Oryzias latipes: one gene and its partners. The protein of the gene in region 1 purifies or fractionates together with the protein of each later gene. This does not show direct contact. Links are inferred from orthologs where the notes say so. Each region holds a gene or a part of one and is shown in the gene's direction. Other genes may lie near its edges. The genes, in order: lyar, gtpbp4, mybbp1a, ribosomal RNA processing protein 1 homolog A, nucleophosmin and gnl2.

Evidence for each region.
Region 2: the proteins of lyar (region 1) and gtpbp4 purify together in Homo sapiens (co-immunoprecipitation; 3 studies listed by BioGRID and IntAct, with this or other methods). This does not show direct contact. The link is inferred for Oryzias latipes from reciprocal best matches to the Homo sapiens genes LYAR and GTPBP4.
Region 3: the proteins of lyar (region 1) and mybbp1a purify together in Homo sapiens (affinity purification with mass spectrometry; 3 studies listed by BioGRID and IntAct, with this or other methods). This does not show direct contact. The link is inferred for Oryzias latipes from reciprocal best matches to the Homo sapiens genes LYAR and MYBBP1A.
Region 4: the proteins of lyar (region 1) and ribosomal RNA processing protein 1 homolog A purify together in Homo sapiens (co-immunoprecipitation; 3 studies listed by IntAct, with this or other methods). This does not show direct contact. The link is inferred for Oryzias latipes from reciprocal best matches to the Homo sapiens genes LYAR and RRP1B.
Region 5: the proteins of lyar (region 1) and nucleophosmin purify together in Homo sapiens (affinity purification with mass spectrometry; 3 studies listed by BioGRID and IntAct, with this or other methods). This does not show direct contact. The link is inferred for Oryzias latipes from reciprocal best matches to the Homo sapiens genes LYAR and NPM1.
Region 6: the proteins of lyar (region 1) and gnl2 purify together in Homo sapiens (affinity purification with mass spectrometry; 3 studies listed by BioGRID and IntAct, with this or other methods). This does not show direct contact. The link is inferred for Oryzias latipes from reciprocal best matches to the Homo sapiens genes LYAR and GNL2.

The regions. Positions count from the first base shown.
Region 1 is NC_019863.2:16,779,075-16,783,126, forward strand, and holds the start of lyar (cell growth-regulating nucleolar protein), read left to right. Parts: upstream 1-1,252; 5' UTR 1,253-1,590; coding exon 1,591-1,712; intron 1,713-2,867; coding exon 2,868-2,982; intron 2,983-3,059; coding exon 3,060-3,167; intron 3,168-3,268; coding exon 3,269-3,349; intron 3,350-3,544; coding exon 3,545-3,848; intron 3,849-3,958; coding exon 3,959-4,027; intron 4,028-4,052. Other genes in the region: zbtb49 (zinc finger and BTB domain-containing protein 49), read right to left, coding at 1-311, 406-557. UniProt on the Homo sapiens protein: Plays a role in the maintenance of the appropriate processing of 47S/45S pre-rRNA to 32S/30S pre-rRNAs and their subsequent processing to produce 18S and 28S rRNAs. Also acts at the level of transcription regulation.
Region 2 is NC_019875.2:8,407,236-8,410,735, forward strand, and holds part of gtpbp4 (nucleolar GTP-binding protein 1), read left to right. Parts: intron 1-1,501; coding exon 1,502-1,567; intron 1,568-1,675; coding exon 1,676-1,765; intron 1,766-1,845; coding exon 1,846-1,956; intron 1,957-2,034; coding exon 2,035-2,112; intron 2,113-3,056; coding exon 3,057-3,108; intron 3,109-3,178; coding exon 3,179-3,279; intron 3,280-3,500. UniProt on the Homo sapiens protein: Involved in the biogenesis of the 60S ribosomal subunit. Acts as a TP53 repressor, preventing TP53 stabilization and cell cycle arrest.
Region 3 is NC_019872.2:24,964,417-24,967,916, reverse strand, and holds part of mybbp1a (myb-binding protein 1A), read left to right. Parts: intron 1-1,744; coding exon 1,745-1,879; intron 1,880-2,007; coding exon 2,008-2,089; intron 2,090-3,476; coding exon 3,477-3,500. UniProt on the Homo sapiens protein: May activate or repress transcription via interactions with sequence specific DNA-binding proteins. Repression may be mediated at least in part by histone deacetylase activity (HDAC activity).
Region 4 is NC_019879.2:31,069,617-31,072,266, reverse strand, and holds part of ribosomal RNA processing protein 1 homolog A, read left to right. Parts: intron 1-333; coding exon 334-428; intron 429-814; coding exon 815-912; intron 913-1,221; coding exon 1,222-1,241; intron 1,242-1,308; coding exon 1,309-1,458; intron 1,459-1,664; coding exon 1,665-2,650. UniProt on the Homo sapiens protein: Positively regulates DNA damage-induced apoptosis by acting as a transcriptional coactivator of proapoptotic target genes of the transcriptional activator E2F1.
Region 5 is NC_019872.2:18,722,170-18,726,261, forward strand, and holds the start of nucleophosmin, read left to right. Parts: upstream 1-1,292; 5' UTR 1,293-1,407; coding exon 1,408-1,456; intron 1,457-2,421; coding exon 2,422-2,501; intron 2,502-3,553; coding exon 3,554-3,673; intron 3,674-3,910; coding exon 3,911-4,004; intron 4,005-4,091; coding exon 4,092-4,092. UniProt on the Homo sapiens protein: Involved in diverse cellular processes such as ribosome biogenesis, centrosome duplication, protein chaperoning, histone assembly, cell proliferation, and regulation of tumor suppressors p53/TP53 and ARF.
Region 6 is NC_019874.2:23,620,059-23,624,171, reverse strand, and holds the start of gnl2 (nucleolar GTP-binding protein 2), read left to right. Parts: upstream 1-1,313; 5' UTR 1,314-1,453; coding exon 1,454-1,517; intron 1,518-1,875; coding exon 1,876-1,960; intron 1,961-2,067; coding exon 2,068-2,162; intron 2,163-4,113. UniProt on the Homo sapiens protein: GTPase that associates with pre-60S ribosomal subunits in the nucleolus and is required for their nuclear export and maturation.

The DNA.
Region 1 (4,052 bases):
AGTGCAGGTTAACATCGTGAGTCAGGCTGCTTCCCAGAAGGCAATCGTGCTCTGAGCCTAGCATTCCTGGGAGAGTGAAGGAATGCATTTCCACGGGTGGGGGGCAAGGTTTGAGGAAAGCATTACACAAATTCTGAACGTTTGGAACTTGTAAGTTCTGTGCTATGTCTAGAAGTGCCTGTACATTCTCTTGGTTAATGTCCAGGTGGGATGTATACATGTAGTCCAATATTTGGCCAATGCCACTGACATCTTGGATAACCAAGTTAAAGACGTCATTCTTCTGACTGGGAGAATTTTGGAACAAAGACCTGAAAAACAAATGTAAAAAATGGTCATATCTCTTAGGGTTCACAGCAACACCTCATGTGGATATTCTGTTGTCAAATAAATGCATAAAAGTACCTAAAGTAGGAACTAAAAGCAGCCAGAACGTTTTTGTGAGCTTTAAAACAGACTCCTTTAACCACCAGCATGCAGTCACAAAGCAGCCCTTGGATTCTTTGCTCCTGGAGCTGCTGTAGGAGGTAGGAGCTGTGGCTGGACAGGGTCTCCATTTATGATCACTCAGCTTCCCCCCTTTTCAAAGCGAAACACACAAAAATCACATTTAAAACAACAACAACAGCCTGAGTTTACACGACTCAAAAGTAAAAGTTGATTACGAGTCAAAAGTAAAAGTTGATTAAAGGGTTGAACTCTAGTAGTGAGCCACACACCGCAGTCCATGTATAAATATATATATATATTTTTTCAAAAATAACTGTCATGTAGCTCAAGAATCGCTACAAGACCGTCCATGCAAAAATTTGACCTGCTACTAAGCTAACAGCGTGGCTATTCGAGCCATTTACAATGACAACTAATAAATAAACAGCTGACCTGTCTTAATTATAAAGGTGTTTATTTATATATATTATTTTACTATTGTCGATATCCATTCAGAGGGGTCCCAAAATCATTGTGAAGTGTTTCGTCTTTTATTGGGATGACGGGTCACTCGCGCTTAATAACATTACGTAACTTCCTGGTACAACGCTTATTTTGTACCCCTCGTGGGAAAGAAATACATCTTATACTAAACCCCCAAACAGTGGGACTATATACATTTCTAAAGTGCTGTTGAAATCGTAAATATACCTCTTTGTAGTATAATTATTTTGTGTTATGAAATGTAAAAAAAGGTTTTCAGGAAGAAAAAAAAAGGTCTGCGGAACTGGTGTCTAGTTAAAATTTCTATACGGAGAATCAAGACTGTAGCTTCAAGGAATGTAATCACGTGTCTGTTCAAAAGTTTAGACGGGAGAAACTCAACCCGCACGTTTACGCTCAAATTAAAATTTTAAAGAGGTTAATTTAACGGGCTCTAATTTTTGGGTATTTTTAAAGACAATGAAGGTTTTGTTCTTTGTCATGCGTTTTTTATAACTTACTAGAAAAAACGTTAGCTTGCCGTAGGCAGGTCTCTAGTCAGTGCATTAATTGATGGTGTTTAAAGTGGTTTAACTTTCTGTCGTTTTGCTGGTTTAATCTACATATTGTCTTTATTAATTTAGAGAAAGGTTGCTTCTGTGGATAAAATTGATCAAAATGGTGTTCTTCACCTGCAATGCGTGTGGCGAGTCTCTGAAAAAAGCCCAGGTCGATAAACACGTGAACATCTGCCGTGGGTGTCAGGTGTTGTCCTGCATTGACTGCGGAAAAGATTTCTGGTAAGACCAATTGGGTTATTTCTAAACATTACAAAATATCGTCGGGAACAAGTTTGTTTTTCCTCCAACCGGTGCCATGGTACTAGGCTGCAGGTTACCGTAGTGCCCTGTAGGCTTACTTGATTTGTTTCTTTCTCTAAACTGATTTTGATTGCCTTGGGCTTCTTTTGCGTTGTCACGTGCCTGCTAGCCCTAATTTGACTATTTCCCACCACTTCTGGGTCTGAAGTGGGATACGGGTGCATCGATCAGCTGTTGTTGCTTGGCAACAACAAAATTCCACCAGAGAAGTGACCGGAGATCGAAGGAGAGGCTGAGGAGACTGGGGTCTCTTCAGAGTTTACAGGACTCTTAAGATTTTTTTTTATTGTGGCGAAGTCCTGGGGCGGTGGCGGATGCACTAACTGACATAGGAAGAGGATCAACAAACTGGTATGGAGATACGACTCCATTCTGGATGTCCCTTATAGAGTCTGTGACTGTGGAGGGTCACAGGACGATGTTACAGAAACTGAAATGCATCATGGACAATCCTCTTCATCATCATCCTCAGCATGAAACCATGGACTTCAACACCTTGTCACAGAATTTTCTTTCTGTTAGCTACTAGACTCTACAACACCTCATAGACACTGGATGTTGGAGCCAAATTCACAGTTTATATTTAATAGTTATTTTTGGAGCCAAATGCACTGTTTTGATTTAATAGTTAATTTAAATAATTATTGTTTGAACTTCCAATTAAAAACCCTACGTCACAGAGATGCTGTTAGTGAGACTCATTGTTGATTGAAGCCGGAGAAAGTTGGAAGCGATATCGTTTTTTGACTAAATTGTAGTGGCACTCTCTCTGCGTGTCTCACTCGCGTTTCAAATAACAGTTGCCGGACAGACGTCAAACGGTGGAACAAGAGAAAGACACAGAGAGAGTGCCACTACACTGGGGAATAATCACTGTTCTTCATTTTTAAGTGTATTTTTTAGTATTAGTTATTATCTATCTGCTGTTTTTTAATAGAGCTATGGTAACACGGAAATTTCCTTTTTGTGGGATCAATAAAGATTTATTCTCTTATACTCTATTCTAACGCATAATGAGCTCTGTGACTGACCAAGTAACGCATTCAATGTGACTCTTTTCTGCGTATTACCTAGGGACGACGACTATAAAAATCACACTAAGTGTATCAGTGAAGACCAGAAGTATGGGGGGAAAGGCTTCGAGGCCAAGGCAAACAAAGGCGATGTCAAACAACAGCAGTGGTTACAGGTAAACATCTTCCCAAGTTCGATTATATGTGAACATTTGTTTTTCTTTTGGATCCTGACTTGTGTCTTTTCCTGAAGAGAATCCATGAAGCCCTGAACAAATCAAGCATCAGTCCCAAGCTGAGAGATGTGCTCAGGCAAGTCAGTGCATACGACAATGTCCCCAGGAAGAAAGCCAAGTTTCAGGTTGGTGTTACCAAAACTTGTAAGAAGGGTTTAGGCTTTTACCAGGAAGATTATTAAAATGTGTATTTACTTATTACTGTTAATGTTTTTTCTTCTTTCAGAACTGGATGAAAAACAGTCTAAAAATATCCAACACAAGCCTACACGAGGAAGTGTGGAACATAATTGCTGCTGCCGTCGATGTAAGTAGCTGTTTTGTTTGTTAAAGTAAATATTACACTAAATTATTAGCTGGGGAGCCTAAGCTTTAATGGAAATCAATGGAAAATAATATTAATGTGATATTTAAGGGCTGGAAATGTATTAAGTGTTGTGTAATACCGTTCATTCTTTCACTGTACTGTTGTTTTGCTTATCTGTAATCTTTTGCACCCCAGGTTCCAGAAGATACACAGCAGCACATGGAGAAAGAAGCTGAAGTCCAAGCAAACACTAATGGAACTCAAACTCCGTTTGGCCACGAAGATGTGAAGAAAAACAAAAAGATGAACAAAAGAGAACGCAAAGAGGCCCGGCAGCAGAACAACGGAAAAGCTCCAAAACTATATGACGAACAAGTCACACAAGAGCAGAAAGAAAGCCAAACAGGGAAAAGGAAAAAGGATGGAAAAAGAAAACACAAAGAAGCAGAAGATGAAGAGCAAAACTGTGATGAAAATGAGATATCTGCCAAGAAAAGGAGTAAATAACATTTTTTTTTCTTATTACAACACTTTTTTGTTTGTTTGATAAAAAGGATGGTTTTTGTGTTTAAGGCCTGTGTTCCTGTTTTCTTTCAACCTTTTTTCCAGTTAAGGTTGCAGCAGAGGCTAATGATGCTGAGATGTCAAATGAGGCTGAAGATCAAGCTGTTCCTCTGGGTAAGTTAACTCTAGACTGACTTAA
Region 2 (3,500 bases), on another chromosome or scaffold:
TGTGCAAAGAGGCTCCTGAAACAATCCAGCACATAACTGCAGGGTGTAAGATGCTGGCAGGGAAAGCATACATGGAGCGCTACAATCAAGTGGCTGGAATAATATACAGGAACATGTGTGCAGAATATGAACTGGAAACCCCAAGGTCAAAATGGGAAACACCTCCGAAGGTGGTAGAGAATGAGATCAAAGATCCTGTGGGACTTCCAGATCCAGACTGATAGAACAGTAATGGCGAACCAACCAGACATTGTAGTGGTGGACAAAGAACAGAGGAAAGCCGTTGTGGTGGATGTGGCAGTGCCACGCAATGGGAACATCAGGAAGAAGGAACATGAGAAACTGGAGAAATACCAGGGACTCAGAGAAGAACTGGGGAAAGCCTGGAAAGTGAAGGAGACAGTGGTGCCTGTGGTAATTGGAGCACTCAGGGCAGTGACCCCTAAGCTGGAGGAGTGGCTACAACAGATACCTGGAAAGACCTCAGACCTCTTAGTCCAGAAAAGTGCAGTGCTAGGAACAGCTAAGATACTGTGCAGGACCCTCAAGCTCCCAGGCCTCTGGTAGAGGACCCAAGCTTGGAGGAGAAACCACCCGCGGAGGGTGAGAGGGACACCGATTACTCGCCACGGTTCTTACATCTTGGAACTCAAAATATTCCTACATTTAAAAAAATATTGAAGAAGTCCAAATATAAGAAAAGCATGCCAGAATGTGCAACTTTACATTCTTTCACAAAGTCTCCTCCTGCTATGAAACAACCTTCCACTGGGGACAAATGTAGCAGCATCTTTCTCCTGCCAAATTGTCGGGACAGCGAGTCACCAAACTTGGTCACAGAGACACGGAAGTACAGCTGAAAGCTGCGTGATTCAGACTCAGTTCCTGTAGTAGATGGTGTGGGTCAGAGTCTCTGAATGACTGTGGTCAGAAAACAAAGCCCTTTCTCATTTTTCTGCACACGTCTGCTTGTATTCCAGCTCCAGCTTCAGAGAGGTTGACACCAATCACATGTGCTGTGATTGGTCCACGTTCTACACATAGCTTATAAACTAGAAACAGTTGTGAAGCCAAATTGTAGCCAGGTTTTATGAAGGTTTGAAGCAACAGAGGAACTCCAGAGCTCTGAAACCCTCAAACCTCAAAGAACAGACGGTTCAAATGTGTTGTTGACCTGCTGTCATTAGTTTCATACAAGCTCTGGAGGCTGAATTATATATACAAGCTTTTGTTTAATTGTCTAGTTTGTGTTTTTTTTTCTTTTATATTGGCTGTATTGTTATGCACATACTAGAGCACTAAATGAAAAGAATGCCATCACCCGTGTATATATATGTTTGGCCCTTTACTGAGTGAGGTGATCAGGCTAAACTCTGACTCCCAGATTACAGATCTGAAGTGAATAAAAAACCTTCATTCGGGTTTTTAAAGTCTGCTTAAGCTGAAATTTGAAGCTGTCATATCTGACATCACTAAGCATTCGGATGCTTCTGTCCTGCAGCCTCTGATCATTGTTGCAAACAAATGTGACGTGAAGAAGATCAGCGAGCTGACTGAGGAGAACCAGGTGAGAACCGCAGAGACAAAAGAGAACATGAAAGAGAACGTGAAAGAGGGTTCCCGTGTTTCTGTGAGAACCTCAGCAGCACTCTCATATTCCTGCTCTTGCTATCAGAAAATCCTTGCAGACCTCACCACTGAGGGAATCCCCGTCATTGAGACCAGCACCCTGACCGAGGAGGGAGTCATGCAGGTTAAAACCGAGGTGAGAGCCAGAGACTTTCATGCCCCCCCCCGCACGCCTTGTTTCCTGCCTAATAAGACATCTCTCCGGTGTTCGTTCAGGCCTGTGACCAGCTCCTCGCCCACCGCGTCAACACCAAGATGAAGGGCAAGAAGGTCCACGACGTCCTGAACAGGCTGCACCTCGCCATGCCCGCCAAGAGGGACGAGAAGGTAAATCCCACAGGAGACGGACGCTGAGAGGCTGTAAGCTTCTGTGTCTGACGTCTGTCTCTGATGCCTGACTTTCAGGACAGACCCCCCTTCATCCCAGATGGAGCTTTGACCCGCAGGAGAGCCATGGAGGTGGACGCCCCCAAACGCAAACTGGTATGACTAATTTCACATGTGGAGCAGCAAGCGGATCCAGGCAGGATCAGAAAGTGATCTACAGGAAGATGAGGATCACTTTGAAATGGAATAGAAAACTACATGAGGATAGACGGCTTGAAATCTCATTTTAAATTCTTATGCTACATTTTTAGGGCGTAAAAGGATTTTTTTTTGTCTAAATCAAAATAATACATAAGGTTGACATAAGAAGATGGTAGTCGTGTGCTGCTACAGCAAAGGTGACTGACTTGTTTAAATGAAGACTCACTAAACCAAACTTCAGACTCACAGAGGATTTTTGTGTAAAGATGGTAAACTGCCTTTATTTACTTTTTTGTCTGCACACGACAGGAAAACTTTGAAGGGCAACAAATCCAAATTTTGGTGCAGATTTCTTTTTCTGGGCAAATATGATATAAAAAAAGGGTTTTTAGATTTGTGAGAAATGTTCATGAATGCAAATATTTGTAAAGAGGCAAAGTTTTGCTTTTGAGAGAAAATTCAAAATGAAGTCAGACCATAGACACCTCACCTCCAGCTCAATCGAAATGAAGCCGATTCAGTTGCCATTTTTCTGGGATACGGGCGCCACCATTTGGAGCCAGTTGACAGCGATTGGTCTGAGTCACGTTTCTAGGGCAACTACTGTCTCCAATCACCAGGAAGCTTAAACGTCTCAGGAGAAATCTTTCAAACGTTTCAGGTGGGGCCAGTGAAAGTGAAAAATTCTGCTCTGAGAATCTGAGGAGCTCGTTTACAAACCTGTTCAGAGGATTTTACTTTCAGAGAGAATTGGTCTTTAAACACAGTTTCAGGTTAAACTACAAAGCACTGATGAAGATCATCCTCACCGTTGACCTCTAACGTTTCCGTGTGACAGTTTAGATTCTGACATTCAGGTTTGCTCCGAGATTTCTCACCATCAATCTAAAATGTTGCAGGAGAGAGACCTGGAGCTGGAGCTGGGTGACGACTATATCCTGGACCTGCAGAGTGAGTTGGCTTCCCTTCTGATGGAGGAGTTGGTGAAGACAGTCGGCTCACGTCCTGGTGGTGTTTTCAGAATACTGGGATCTGATGAACGAGGACGAGAAGCAGGACAGGATTCCGGAGGTGTGGGAGGGACACAACATCGCGGACTACATCGATCCGGATATCATGAAGGTGAGTGTTAGGATTCTGTGGTGCTGTCAAAAAATAATCTATAGCAGACTTTCTGCAGCTTATTAAGCTGTTACGGTGGATGTCGACAGAAAACAGGCTGTTTGCTAAAGAATAAAATACTAATTTAGAATATTATGTATTATGTCTTTTTTTGCACCTGGATCTCCAGAAAATCAGAAAAACGTTGCTACAAAAGGTTTAAGAAACTGCTTATTTTGACG
Region 3 (3,500 bases), on another chromosome or scaffold:
CCTGACAGATCGACACTTTTATGTAAGTATGGATATGTGCTCTTCAGGAATCCACGAAATAAGCTGTGGGGTTCCCCAAGGGTCAATTTTAGGGCCAATACTTTTTAATTTGTATATGTTGCCTCTTGGGGAGGTCATCAGGAGACATGGCGTTGACTTTCACAGCTATGCTGACGATACACAGCTTTACATCGCCGTGTCTCCTGATGACCTGGAACCTGTCAACACTCTTTTAAACTGCATTTTAGATATAAAGTTGTGGATGGCAGAAAATTTCTTACAGCTCAACCAGGACAAAACTGAAGTTTTAATCATCGGTTCTGAAGACAAGAGAGAGATGATTTTACCACATCTTCATAATTTTAAACCTTCTCAATGTGTGAGAAACCTGGGCGTACTTTTTGACTCTGAGCTAAATTTTATCCCACACATTAAAAATGTCGTTAAGACAGGATTTTATCATCTCAAAAACATTGCCAGAGTCCGCCCGTTCCTCTCTCTTGCCAGCACAGAAGTGCTAATGCATGCTTTTATTTTCAGTCGTTTAGATTACTGTAATGCCCTGCTCTCTGGTTTACCCAAAAAGTCTCTTTCAAACTTACAACTTCTACAGAACTCAGCGGCACGAGTTCTGACGAGAACCAGAGGGCGGGAACACATTACACCGGTTTTAAAATCGCTGCATTGGCTCCCTGTGCGTTTCAGGATTGATTTTAAAATTCTTTTAATGGTTTATAAATGTTTTTATGGTCTTGGGCCTTCTTATTTAAATGATATTCTTTTAAAATATGAGCCCTCGCGGACCTTGAGGTCTTCCGGTACTGGCCTCTTAGTTGTTCCCAAGGTGAGGACCAAAACTTATGGTGAGGCTTCGTTCTGCCATCACGGTCCTCGCCTGTGGAACGGCCTTCCGGAGAGCCTCAGGGCCGCAGAGACAGTAGAGGTTTTTAAGAAGAGGCTCAAGACCCACCTTTTTAATTTAGCTTTTAGTTGATTTTAACTGCTAATTTATTCTATTAGTTTTAGTATAGGCTATTTTATTTATGTATTTATTTTAATTTTATGCATCTTATTTTCAATTTTATGTTTTTTCTTTTTTATGTTTTTAATTTTAGCATCTTATGATTTTAGCCCCAGTGTTTCTTGAGGGGATCTTTTCCTCCAGGGCTTGCCGGCTTGGTCAGCGGTTGTTGCTGCAGTTGTTGCCCTTGCTGGGGCGGCTGGGGTCTAATTTTACAGCTTTTGGCTGTGAGGGGGACCCCGGTGTTGTCCCGGTCTGGGTGGGCACTGTGGCGATGTTCCGGTGGCCGGGCTGGCTCCTGGTATGAAAGGATTCCCAGATACTGTTTCCTCACAGCAGAGCTAAGCCATACTTGTTTATTTATTTATTTATTTATTCTTTTACAGTTACATAGTCATATTTCATTGTACGTGGGAGCCATGGGTCATGTGGTTTAATGGAGGGGTGTGGGAAGGGTGAAGGGTGGGTTGGGGTTTTTATTGTAATGTTGTGTGTTTACTGTTTTTAGTGTTAAAGCGCTTCGAGCTGCACAAAGTGCATGAGAAGCGCTATTTTATAAATAAAGTTTGAAAGTTTGATCTATCAGCAGAGTTTCTTGTAGTCTGAACTTAAATGTCAAACATTTGTTCTCCTTTTTTTTCCCCTAAGCTTCATTCATTGATCACATTTGTATTTTGAATGGGATGAAGTTGATTAAAGGGCACAAACATGTTTTTCTATCAGGAACCAGCTCTGTAGGTCTAAAAGTTACTGCAGAACCGCAGGTGACAGGCAGGGGGAGCTGCATGACCTGCTGGAGAAGCTGATGACCAAATGCCAGAAACTGTCCGACTCCTCGCTGAGTCTCTACTACTTCAGGTAGAATCCTGTCTCCACTGTCATTTGGAAAGGTTTAAAAAAATAGGCCTGTGGTAAAAAGAGACAGAAAGTATAAATTGAAGTTAGAGTTAGACTCCATGTTGATCGTGTTCCTCTCCTTTCCTCAGTGCATGCCTGTATTTGGTGAAACTTCTGCGAGGAGCTCTTCCTGTCGAAGCCAAAGAGGCTCAGAAACCCACAGGACACAATGTAGGTTTATTATTTGACTTCCTTTCATGTTGTTGCCTTGCTCAGATCATTCGAGTAGGGATGGGTATCGTTAAGGTTTTAACGGTACTACTACTCTTATTGATACTGCTTTTTGATCCGGTATTTTACCGATACTCTTATAAAATAAATAAATAAATATTTTATTTCTGTTTTCATTTTAATCTAAAACAAAAGTAAATTAACTGCAGGTTTCGCTTTACCTCGGGGTCAAAACTAAGGCCGTTCATACCTGCTGAGTGTCTTGGGTGCTCAGCAGTCAGGTCTGTTCCTGGATTTTTATTGGGTCATGAAGTGTCCTGGATTACTTGGCCTCCTTTTGGTTCACCTGTCATCTTCACAGGAATCTTCTCCTTTACTTTAGTATTTGTTGTTGCTTTAAAACAAATCCATTTAGTATATTTTAAATGTTCATTTGTTGAGGTGGAAAGCCTTTAGTTCAAAAACATTTAGTAAGTAAGTAAAGCTTATTTCTTTAGCACTTTTCCCAGAAAGGATGGCATTGCAGGTCAAAACTACGACAAGAGGTAAAATGCATTAAAGCAGGCATGTCCAAAGTCCGGCCCATGAGCCAAATGCGACCCGCATTCAAATTTTCACCAACCCACTGACTCCCTTCACCAAATGAATACTATGCGGCCCACAGCGCTTTGGAAAATCTGGTTGTACAGTTTCTTGATTGTGATTGACTAAATTCTATATTATATATCTATATTATACTATATTATACAGATGATTTAATTATTTTCACCTCTCCAAATCGGCCCTCTTTGCAAAAAGATTGGACATCTTTGCATTAAAGAGAAAATCCCAAAATTGATGTTCGATTATTTTTTTATTTATTTACTTGTTACATCATGAAACCAATGCTAATAATCTGCAAAAACAATAAGCGTAGTTTTTCTGAACAACTTTTTGCAAAAAGAATCTGTTTAACAAAAGCTGTCTGACATACGCTTTTGGAAAATGGGTGAAGAAAAGACATTTTCAACGGAAAAGCTTTTATTCACAAATGAAGAAAAGAGAACAAAATGAAACCTTCTGAAAGTCTTGAAAGAACAATAATATAATCAATCCTATTATCAGAGTTTATGACTCAACAGTCAAACAGAATTTCTTTTGGATAAAACTAGATCCATTTGACAAAAATAGTAGCTTGGTTGTTATGGGGTCAGATCAGGATTGTATTAAAGAGAATGAAAAACCCAGACTGTAAATTTGAGAAGAATTATTTTATGAAAATGTAAAAAACCTTTTTAACCAGAAAGTATAGATTGTAGACTATAAAGAAATAAATGTTAAACCTAAAGGAAATTTTGCAGCCCTGCTAGGTGTGAAGAAACCCTGACATGTGTCCCTCTCTGTTTAGCTGCCGTTCATGGGCCAAGTGGAC
Region 4 (2,650 bases), on another chromosome or scaffold:
CCCTCCCCCTGTTCTCGTGTTCCCTCCCCCTGTTCTCGTGTTCCCTCCCCCTGTTCTCGTGTTCCCTCCCCCTGTTTTCGTGTTCGCTCCCCCTGTTCTCGTGTCCCTCCCCCTGTTCTCGTGTTCCCTCCCCCTGTTCTCGTGTCCCCTCCCCCTGTTCTCGTGTCCCCTCCCCCTGTTCTCGTGTTCCCTCTCCCCGTTCTCGTGTTCCCTCCCCCCGTTCTCGTGTTCCCTCCCCCTGTTCTCGTGTTCCCTCCCCCTGTTCTCGTGTTCCCTCCCCCTGTCGCCTCATTGTGTTGGTTTCCTATAGCTGGTTTAGGTTTCTGCTTTCAGGCAAAGACTCCAGTGAGGAAGAGGAGGAGGATCTTCTTCCTTTGGACCTGGAGTCCCAGCTTTCAGGTGATGAGGACATTGGACCAGTCTTACAGGTAAGGGGTGGGGTCTTGATGATTTGAGTGTTCTGGACAGGGACAGCTGTCAGGAGTTAGGTGGTCTGAACCTGGCCGGTCCAACAGCCATCAGAACGTACATCATCTAGCAGATCTGTCCTCCATGACGAGGAGACGGTTGCTGGTTGAAAACCAACAGATTTTTGTATCATTTGAAGAAGCTTTGGCTTCAGACCGTCCCATGGTTCTGGTACCAGATGTCATTAGAAACAAACCTCTCAGAACTTCTATTTGCTGCTGAGATGAACTTTTTTAAAGACTTTGTTTTCAGCGTTTAGGCGAAGAGGTCAAATGTCGTCTGTCTGCCACACAAACAGATCTCGATGATGAAGATGACCTCTAAAGCTTCTTCTGGTGTTTTTCAGTTCGATTACGCCGCTGTTGCAGACCGGCTCCTGGCGCTGGCGGGTCGGGGCAGCACGCCAGGTCAGAACCGACGAAAACTCTACAGAATCGTTAAAGTGTGAGTATCTTTTGGTGCCGTCTGTGTTTCTGTGCTCCTCTGGTCCATAAGTGTTTGAACACGACCAGAATCTGGTTCTGGCCAGGTTCTTGGGTGCTAGAATGTAGAACTTGGATGAGGAGCTCAGATCCCACATTACCTCCTGTCTGGCCCAAGGCTCCCCTGTCGGGTTCTGCTGGTCGTTGGACTGAGGTCCACCTCTGTGGCTGCTATCAGAACAGAAATGTTCTGGTTTTGTTGAGGAGAACTTGTAGAACTGAGTCCAAACGATCCTCTGTGCTTCTGCTTGTCTTCCATGTGCTGCTGCAGGCTGAAGGACCTCAGTGAAGGTAGAACCTCCTGGATTTACTGCGGTTCTCGTGGATCTTCAGGGTCTCACTCCGCTCCTCTGCTCAGGCGTGTTTCCTCAGGACGAGTATCCGGAGGAGGTCTCCACGGACGAAGACGACGACATGTTCGGCAGCAGGAAGAGGATGAAGAGGGCGGCTCGCCTGGGCCGTGGTGAGGAAGAGCCGGCAGCAGGACAGAAGAAGGCTTCCAAGTCAGGTGGGCGGTTCAGCCGCTGGGGTGGATCCAAACCTTCTGCCGGTTCTTGGAACTCACAGCTGTGGTTCCTGTCAAACAGAACCTTTGTCGGTTTGGTTCTGTTGACTTTTCTTTCAAACTGAAATCATCTTCTGATCTTTGTGGGGTTCTTGTAGCCGGGCCGGGTCGTCTCAGGCAGAACTTTTATTCTGCTTCCTTGTTTTCAGGAAGCGACGTCACCAAGCAGCAAAACCAGAACAATGAACCAGCAGAGGCAGCGGTGAAGAAGAAGAAGAAGAAGAAGAGGAAGAAGGAAGTTCTTGGAGATGAAGTGAACTCTGAAGACCAAACTGCAGCTGACGTGAAGATGGCAGAAGAGCGTTTGCAGAGAGCCTCGGATCCATCAGAGGGTCCAGAAGAAACCCCAGAGCTAAAGGCTGCAGAGGAAGAGCTCAGCACTGCCGTGCAGAAAGACCAACCAAAGAGGAAGAAGAGCACCAAAGCGGAGCTCCAAGAGCTTCAGGAGCTTCAGCAGACCTCGGCTCCAGCTGAAACAGAGAACCGCGGTTCCTTAATGAAGAAGAAGAGGAGGAGGAGGAGGAAAAGCAAGGTTCTGGGGGTCGAAGCAGAGGAAGCCTCAGAACCTCCCGAGTCCAAAGATGAAGCTCCTGCTGAGATCACAAACAAGGCCAAGAAGATGAAGGCCCCAGCTGGGCCTCCAGTCAACGGCTCGCCGGCTTCTGTCAAAGCGGAGGCTGAAGGCGGCGTGGAGTCAAGCGTGGTCGTTCCAAAGAGGAGAAAGGTCTCATCCATCAGGATGAAGAAAAGTCCAAGGGCCGAAGAAGCGGACCAGCAGAAGACCGGAGGTCCTGAAGTCTCTGCTGGAGCGTTACAGCAGCCAGAGGCCACAGGAGACGAGCAGAAGTCTGGTGCCGACGTGGACCCGAAACCCCTAGAGTCTCCAGAACCAGGACCCGTCTCACCTCTGAAGAAGAGGAAGAAGAGGAAACTGTCAGCAGCTGAGCAGGCCAGAGGAAATGCAGAAAGCCTGCAAGCTGGCGAAGAGAAAACACCTGAGGTTACCGTGGCAACAGCAGCAAAGAAGAAAAAGATGAACGGACCCCAGAGTCAGATCTCAGAGGAAACCCGTCTGACAACTGAGCTGCCATCGGTTGACTGCCAGGAGAAAGTGAAGAAGAGGAGGAGGAAGAAG
Region 5 (4,092 bases), on another chromosome or scaffold:
TGGCAAAGGAGAAGTGCTCACTATCACAGATTCAGACAGATTTGTGAACAAAATTTCAGAGAACTGGTTATTTTGGGTATGTGGAAAATGTTTCACATCTTTTAGTTCATACTAGAGCCCTGCGCGGGACTATTTTCTTCATCCCGCTCCCGCCCGCGCCCGCTGAATTTTTGACCAATCCCGCCCGCTCCCGCAACGTATGCGTTACACTCCCGCCCGCTCCCGCAATATGTATGTCCACTCCCGCCCGCACCCGCAAAACTCATAGAATTTAGTCCCGCACAGTAATAGAGATGCATTGATTTTGTATCGTCTCCCGTCCCGCAGGAACAAAACACGTATTTGTATTGATATTATTACTAAAGAGATTCATGACCTCCTCCAGACTCATCTTTTGATGCATTCCTCTTTTGTGTAATGTGCAACTTAATTATTAAATATATTTTCACAAATCCTGTTCGGTTAAAAGTGTGCGTGTGTGCGCGCGCAGACAGACGGCCTGAAGCGCGCTCTTAGTAAGAGGCGGGGCGGGGCGCACCCCCAACAACAGGTTAGATGACAGAAGCCATTGGGCGTCTCTACCTGGTGCCTTCACGGAGCTTCAGTACATAAGAATCAAACAGCCGCACAGCCTAACGTAGTCCGCTAATATATATTCATGAGATATTCATGGCAGCACTGATCCCGCGGGGTTTATTTTTTGCCGCCCGCTCCCGCCCGCAGCACAATTCAAACCGCCCAATCCCGCGAGATTTGGGTTGGGTCCCGCGGGACCCGGCGGGACCCGATCCCAATGCAGCCCTCTAGTTCATACCATAAAAAATGGGAGCAATAACAAATGTGTTGCGTTCATATTTTTGGTCAGTGTAATTATGCTCCAGAAAAACTTATATGGAACTTCCGTTCAGAAAGTGAGGTTGAACTTTTGTCACAATTTAAATTCGAATCTCATGTAAAACCTTTTTATTAATGTTTTTTTAATCAAAAATATTAACATTCCATGACTTTTCCAAAACTTTCCAGAAGATTTCGTTTTTCACAAACTGTTCAAGAACTTAAAACATTGCATTTTCAATTTCCAAAACTTTTCTAGGTTTTTCATGACCGTATGAACCCTGTATCAAACGCCTCACAAAATCTGGGAAGAAAATGAAGCTTTCGTCAGTAATAACGTCTGAATAATCAATAAAATCAGAAACTAGCTTTAGATTGTTTTAAATGCATCTGTCTTTCAATATGAATTTCTAACACCCCCTAAGCACTAACTTCCGCCGAGCTGTAGGAGGCGCTCTCACCCACTGGATCACTTCCGTTTCAGCAGAGTAGAAGAACAGCCCCATCAGTCCTTCCATCCACGATCAGTGATTGTTCCCGTGCAGATCAGCGGCGGTCGTGTCAGTCAGCAAAATGAACGGTTTGGACGAAGAATCGTTGGCACCACAGACATTTTTATATGGTAAGAGAAGTTGGTAGGTTTGCTTTTCTTCTTCGTGCACGTTGGACACACGTGTGTGTATAGCTCGTGCGAGGAGGTGGAGCGGCCGCTGAGGCGCGCGCGGTCCATTTTTGAATAAAATTGAATGTGTAACGTTAAAGAAAGGGACATAAAATGTGTAGTCTGTTTTTATTTTATGACTTATGTGTTTTATTGACTGGATCATGACTGGAAATACGGCGTCAGACTTATTACGCACATGCTCCTTGAATATATCAACATGGCGGTCGCCGTGCTTTTTTTCTCCCCAAATGAAAACTACGTTTCTGACAAATACAGCTCATATTAATATTGCTTTTTAATTTACCCTAGCATAAGATATTCGTTGTGAAAAAATAAATAGATAAAAAGCTTTAAATTAAATTGCAAGACCATGAACTAATTTCTAGAAAATTCGACAACGTGGTTTCCAGCGTGCCGTTAGGCCCCTCCCCCTTTAAAGCTGACCTAATTAATTCCCTTTAGAAATATACTTACGTTTATATTTATTCACATTTGTTTATAATACAATTGCATATATTTTCTTTTGTTCTTCATTTCGTGATGTTATACGTTTTAGTCCTTTTATTGTAATCTGTTTCGTTTGCCACGTGGTGCAGAGAAAAAAAAGATTCTTTTTCTTTCATAAAGATTTATTTTAGATGGTGAAACAGTTGTTTAGAAATGAAGTCAAAATAGTTTTTATCTTCCAGTAAGTCATTACAAATTTGAAATTTACTCCTGCCAACACTTAAAAAAAACTATTTAGAGTCTCTAGAGTTTGTTTTTATTTTAAATAAATTATATCCAAGATAAAATATGGGAACTTTAAAACTGTTAAGCGGAAATCAAATACTTTTTTCTCCCACGTGGTGCATCGTTTAGAGCGCCCTCTAGTGTTGAGTTTGATATTTTCTCTCATTTTAAAACCGTTTTTTGTCTTTTAGGATGCACATTGGAGGCTGGGAAGGAAGTGCTCTTCAGTCCTGAAGATGATGAGCTGGAGCATCAGTTAGATCTCAAACTGGTAATTATAATGAAATGAAGACTACAGTTCTGTGATATTCTTGCGTTTGAGCTCTCATGTCGAATAAATTTTTAGGCACATCAATGGAAATATTTTGGATTTTAGCTTGAAGTCCTGTTTGTGGGTTTAAATGAGCGGATTTTTATCATTTTAAACTGCGTTTAAATTTCAGGCTTTATTTAATGAATTTAAATGTATTGAATTATAATGCATTAAAAGTCCCACTTGATCTTTTGTCAAAGTGTTCCCAGTGGCTTTTAAGCATGATAATGCCAATTTATGCCAAAAAAAAGTATTAAAAAGTGGTCTTGTAGGACATAGTTTCTGCAGGCCGCCAGGAAAAATGTGCCTCCGCCCCCTAACTTCATGTTTGAGCAGCCTAACTCAGTAAAACTATGTAAATGTTTTTCGCGCTTCTACTGGAATCTAGGCAGTCAGGGGCTCGGAGTAGCTGGTTTACCAAATGAACCCAGACACTAGGACAGGCCTGATGGTGCCTGCGTTTGTCTTTCAAATAACGAAACACTCTCCTAGCATGGTGGTTATCAGTTTCAATCATTGCAAGGGTGTTGGCAACGAACCAAAATGTTATCGTTTTGTGCCCAAATTGTGAGATTTGCACCGTTTTGACATTTGGCACCAAGCCTCTTCCAGCTATAGGTTTGGACGTGTTGGTGGTCTCTCCTTGCTTGTCCACAATGGGCTATGTGAATCTAGCTCAACATTAGCAGTGCAATAAAATGGTGAGCAATGTTGAAGCTATTCAGCCGTTCAGTTTGCAACAAATCAGCTCAGACGAGGAAGACGTGGATCTAGTAGTCAACAAGTCGACGCAGGATGGACCGGAGCAGGGAACGTTTGGCACGTTCATTGTAGCACCAGCGCCACAAATAGAATTACATTTCTTTCATCTGCTCCTCATTCGTGACTTAAAATAGACTCAAAAATTCAGGTTTAAGCTCAGTTTTCTTTAAATATGTCCTTCATTGTGAGAAGAATGCTACAAGAATGTTTAAAACGTAGCTCAGACCTTGTCTTGTTTGCCCCTTCAGGCTTGTGTTGACCCCAGCACCAAAGACGAGCTTAACATGGTGGAGGTGGAAGGACAGAACGCAGAGGGGCAGAAAATCAAGGCAGCTCTGGTGTCACTCAAACCCTCCACCCTTCCAAGTGTAAGTACACACAGTTCTCCTTCACTCACCTGAAAGGATATTTTACAGTTAGCCTTTGTATGGAGGACTGTACTGACAGATCTCAAATTTCGGAATAATTTTTTTTTTCTGAAGAAAAGATCTGTGACGTTGATGTGTTGTAGGTTAAGTTCCTGAAGCCCATTCTGTTTGTTTCGGCGCATTTAAATATGGATCTTTAAAGCCAGCTTGTGTGACCTTGCATGCTTGATTTCGTAGGTGTGTCTCGGCGGGTTCACGATCACACCCCCAGCAGTGTTCCGTCTGAAGGCGGGTTCCGGTCCGATCCATCTGAGCGGACAGCACCTCGTCAGTAAGTGTTTTTCTGAAGATGGTTCTTTTATCTGCCCTTCTGTGGGTCTGCATTCATCACACCATCTGCTGTCTAATCTGCTTTCAGT
Region 6 (4,113 bases), on another chromosome or scaffold:
AAAAAAAGACTACTAGTTTACTGTTTTGCTACAGTTTTACAGTGCTAACATTGAGGGGTTTTCAACAGATGGTCACAAAGATGTGTTGCATTTGACAGACATTATGGGATCTGATGATTTACTAAAAAAATAAACACATGCAAATTCATGCAAGGAAGCAACTGAAGCAACACATTCGGGAAGGGCGGTGGGGCTTTAGATTGTCTGCTGCTGTTGTGGGGACTGTAAATAATACTTTAAAAAATTACAGCGTCTCTGAAGTTTAAAAAAATTAGAAACGACAACTGTTTCCTCGCTGCATGAATAACCTTAAAAAAAACATCTTATAAGATTAAATTTAACATTAAAAATTTATTCAAATTCATATTTTTTTAATAATTGGGTTTCATCTGCTTGAACTTTAACATAGTGACCCAAAACAGTTTCCTTCAAAAGGATTATAGATAAAGTGAAATCACCTTTCGTTTGTCAGAAAATGAACAGAGAGCATTCCTTTGCCTCCCAGCTGCATAAACTAAGTGCCGGATGGTCTCTTTCCAATTTTTTAAAAGATTTACCGACAACTTGTAACACTTTTTATTAAATAATTGTGGCCTCTGTGACTGGCTGTTTTGATCTAATAACTTCTAGGATATTTATTTTATAAATAGAATTTTACTTCTTTTTATGGTGTGGGGGAACATTTTACAGTTTAAACAACAGAAAGGTCATTGTGCAGTAATCGCTTCTATTGTCTTAAAAGTCAAAGTAAAACTTTTGAGAGAAAGGAAGTAAGATTAAAAATTAAAATTGAAATTCCTAAAGACACCATAGGAATTAAGTTAGCATTCTGCTTTTTTGTAAAATTCAGGTGTCACACATTTGTAAACTGCCTTTTATTACAGCTGCAGAAAAAAACTTCTTGAATTTAATACAGTCAAAAAACGGTGGGAGCCTGAACTGAGTAAATTGAGTATGCATAATCATCATAAAAACATAGCTAAAGATAAACTATTTAATCAAATGTGTTTAACTTTATTTTAACTGCGGCATGACCTATTATTATTAATTGACTCATAAAGCACAGAAAAATGTGATTTAAGTGAGTTTCATCTGCAAGATTTCACCTTACTGATGCCCGTTTAAACATTTTCATAATTTAGATGTGACTGTAAAAAATGTTGATGTTTTTTTTTTTGTTTTTTACAATTTATTAGTATTTTTTTTTACACTTTATAGAGCTGCGATCCTAAAAACACAAGAGCATCATTTGCACGATGGAAAATCCCAGGAGCTTTCTGATTGGCTAGATCGTCTGTCGCTCCTTCTATGACGCCACTTCCTTTTTCTTTACTCTAGCACGTGTAAATAGTACGTGTACAGAACATAGTGCCTAAATTTTCTTTTTTGGACATAGTCCTCAGGTTTTCCATTCGGTTTTCTTCTGGTAGGCTTTGCCAGGGAAGTTTTCAACATGGTGAAGCCGAAGTTTAAGGGGAAATGCTCGATTAATCCCTCATCTTCCAGCAGCAACCCCGGTGAGCTAAAGCACAGAGCTAGCACACGTTTGTTTACACTCGATGCTAACTACTATGGCTAACGAGTAAAGAAAACGTTTTGCCGGCTCAATTGCTAAGCTTAAGTGTCAACCAAGCTAAAGCAGACATACGTTTTACTTCTTTAATTTGAGAAAGCGGACTGTTTGTTGCTGCACTTAACCGAATAATTCTGTCAAGTTTTCTGACATTTTGAACTTGAAGTGAACTAACACAAAACAATCTTCTCTAGTAGTAAAATATATGTTGTTGTTAGGACAATAGATTAGACATGTTTGAAAAACCGATACAGGTTTCACTAGTGAAGGAATAACTTGACTACATCTTGTGCGTTTTACAGATCGGGCAAAGGGAGCTGGTGGGAACAACATGAGGGACCGAGCCACAATCAAGCGTCTGAATATGTACAGACAGAAACAAAGATGGTAATTGATTCTCAACAGGGATCTTATTTATCTTGCTTCTCTATAGATATTTATTGTAACTTTAATCATTGGTTTTGTTCACACTGATGCTGAGTTTCTGTTCGCAGTAATAAACATGGAAAAGTGATCAAACCCCTACAGTATCAATCTACAGTCGCTCCAGGAACTGTAGCCAGAGTTGAGCCAAACATCAAGTGGTTTAGTAAGTATCATCTTCATGCTGTATATGTGAATGTTGTGTGTCTTAAATTGTATCATAAAAAAATCATGGAAGCTATAAAAAAAGGCTTGAAATTTAGGCTGTAATGAGCATTTATTATTTAGCTTAAATAGCTGAAAAATAATAATAACCTGGTAGACAGAAGCAACAGTCTGGGCCAGGTGTGGGCAAACTGCAGCCTATTAAACTACTTAATCTGGCCCACCAAGATGGAATAAATTATATTGATAAATCCTTAAAGTTTAATTTTCAATTCTGGAGTGTCCCCATAAACGGTGCACTACAAATAGGTTGAGCTTTGTTTAGGTGTAGACAGTTGTTCTGCATTCATGTGGTGTTGGAAGGCTTGTTGTCTTTCTTACGGTCATGTGCGTTTTCTGTGTGGAGCGGATATTTTTCCGATCATTCCAACACCACATAAATGCAGCATTTCTCTAAGTTTGCTTTTTTTCACCTGAGGAACAGCCACCCATTGGTGTAATTGGCACTACAATAAAAACAAAAGCCACAGTTTCAAAAGAAAACTTCCACAATGTTCTGTCTTAAAACATGTATATTCATTTTCAATCTAAATTAAAACATGTTTTTGTCCAGATACCATGTTATTTCCTTCTTTAATGAGATGGATTACCAAAACACTCCATGCATCAAATTTTAGAACCTTTTGTGGCCCAGGAGTCAAAAGGTTTGCCCATCACTGGTCTCGGCAGAAATGCCCTGAAGGCAGAAACTTTCTCCAGCCCTTCCAGGATGACTCGGATGTGTTGCCAGGCCAGACACGTCCAGATTATTTCCCCAGGAAGGCATCCAGGAGGCAGAGGTTGTCCCAGAGCTGTCCCAGCCTGGCTTCTGTGGCTGTGGAGGAGCAGGGTCTCTACTCCGAGTTCCTTCTGTGTGGCTGAGCCCCTGACTCTTGCTTTAAAGAGGTGCCCAGTCCCCCTGCAGTGGAAGCCCATTCTGGCTGCATGTATCTGGGAATTTATTGTTTCCAAAGTTCATGACTATTGGTGAGGGCAGAAACATGAATTGACCAGTAAAATGAGAGTTTCGCCCATTTTGGCTCAGCGCCCCTCCTTATTCTGCCATTGGATTACTGCACCCGCTGCATCTATGACTCTCTCAATCTCACTCTCCATGCTTCCCTCATATTTAAGTGAGAGACCTCAACAAGAAAGGTACTTAAACTCTTGTAGTTGGAGCATGACCTTTCCATCAATCTGGAGAGGGTAAATGATCGTTTTACTAGTCAAAAACCACAGCGTCAGACTTTGAGGCGTGTGCTCTGCATGTTTCAAATTTAAATGGTAAATGGCGTATACTTATAAAGCGCTTTTCTACCTTCTTTCGAATAAGGCCCAAAGCGCTTTACAGTCACAGACCCGTTCACCCATGAACACACACGTTCACACACTGGTGGCGGCTCCGCTGCCGAACACTGGTGCCAACCTCCCACCAGAGGCAAGGTGGGATTCAGTGTCTTGCCCAAGGACACTTCAGCACATGGGCGTGCTAGTAGGGAATCAAACCTGCAATCTTACAATCATGGGAGCGACCGCCCTAGCACTGCACCATGGCCGCCCGAAATGAGAAATATTCTCCTTTTCCCTTGAAAATTGAGTTGTGTCAAACCAATATGTGCAGATAAATTACTGTTTTTACATTTTATTTTAGTCATTTATCATTAAATTCTGCAGTTCAGGGGTTGACCTGACGTCATTGTTTCACACGGGACATTGTGAGATTTTACCCTCTTTCAACTTGGACCTTCTGTTTGTTCCTCTCATCTTCTTTGGGCAACCAAGAGCCTAACTGATCTCCGTCCATTTATAGACTGTGTGAAGTCTGAGGAGCTGAAAGAAATGGAAGTGATAATAACTGGTTAATTATTGAATAGACTGCCATCAATACAGCCTTAAATTCTCACCTGTACAAC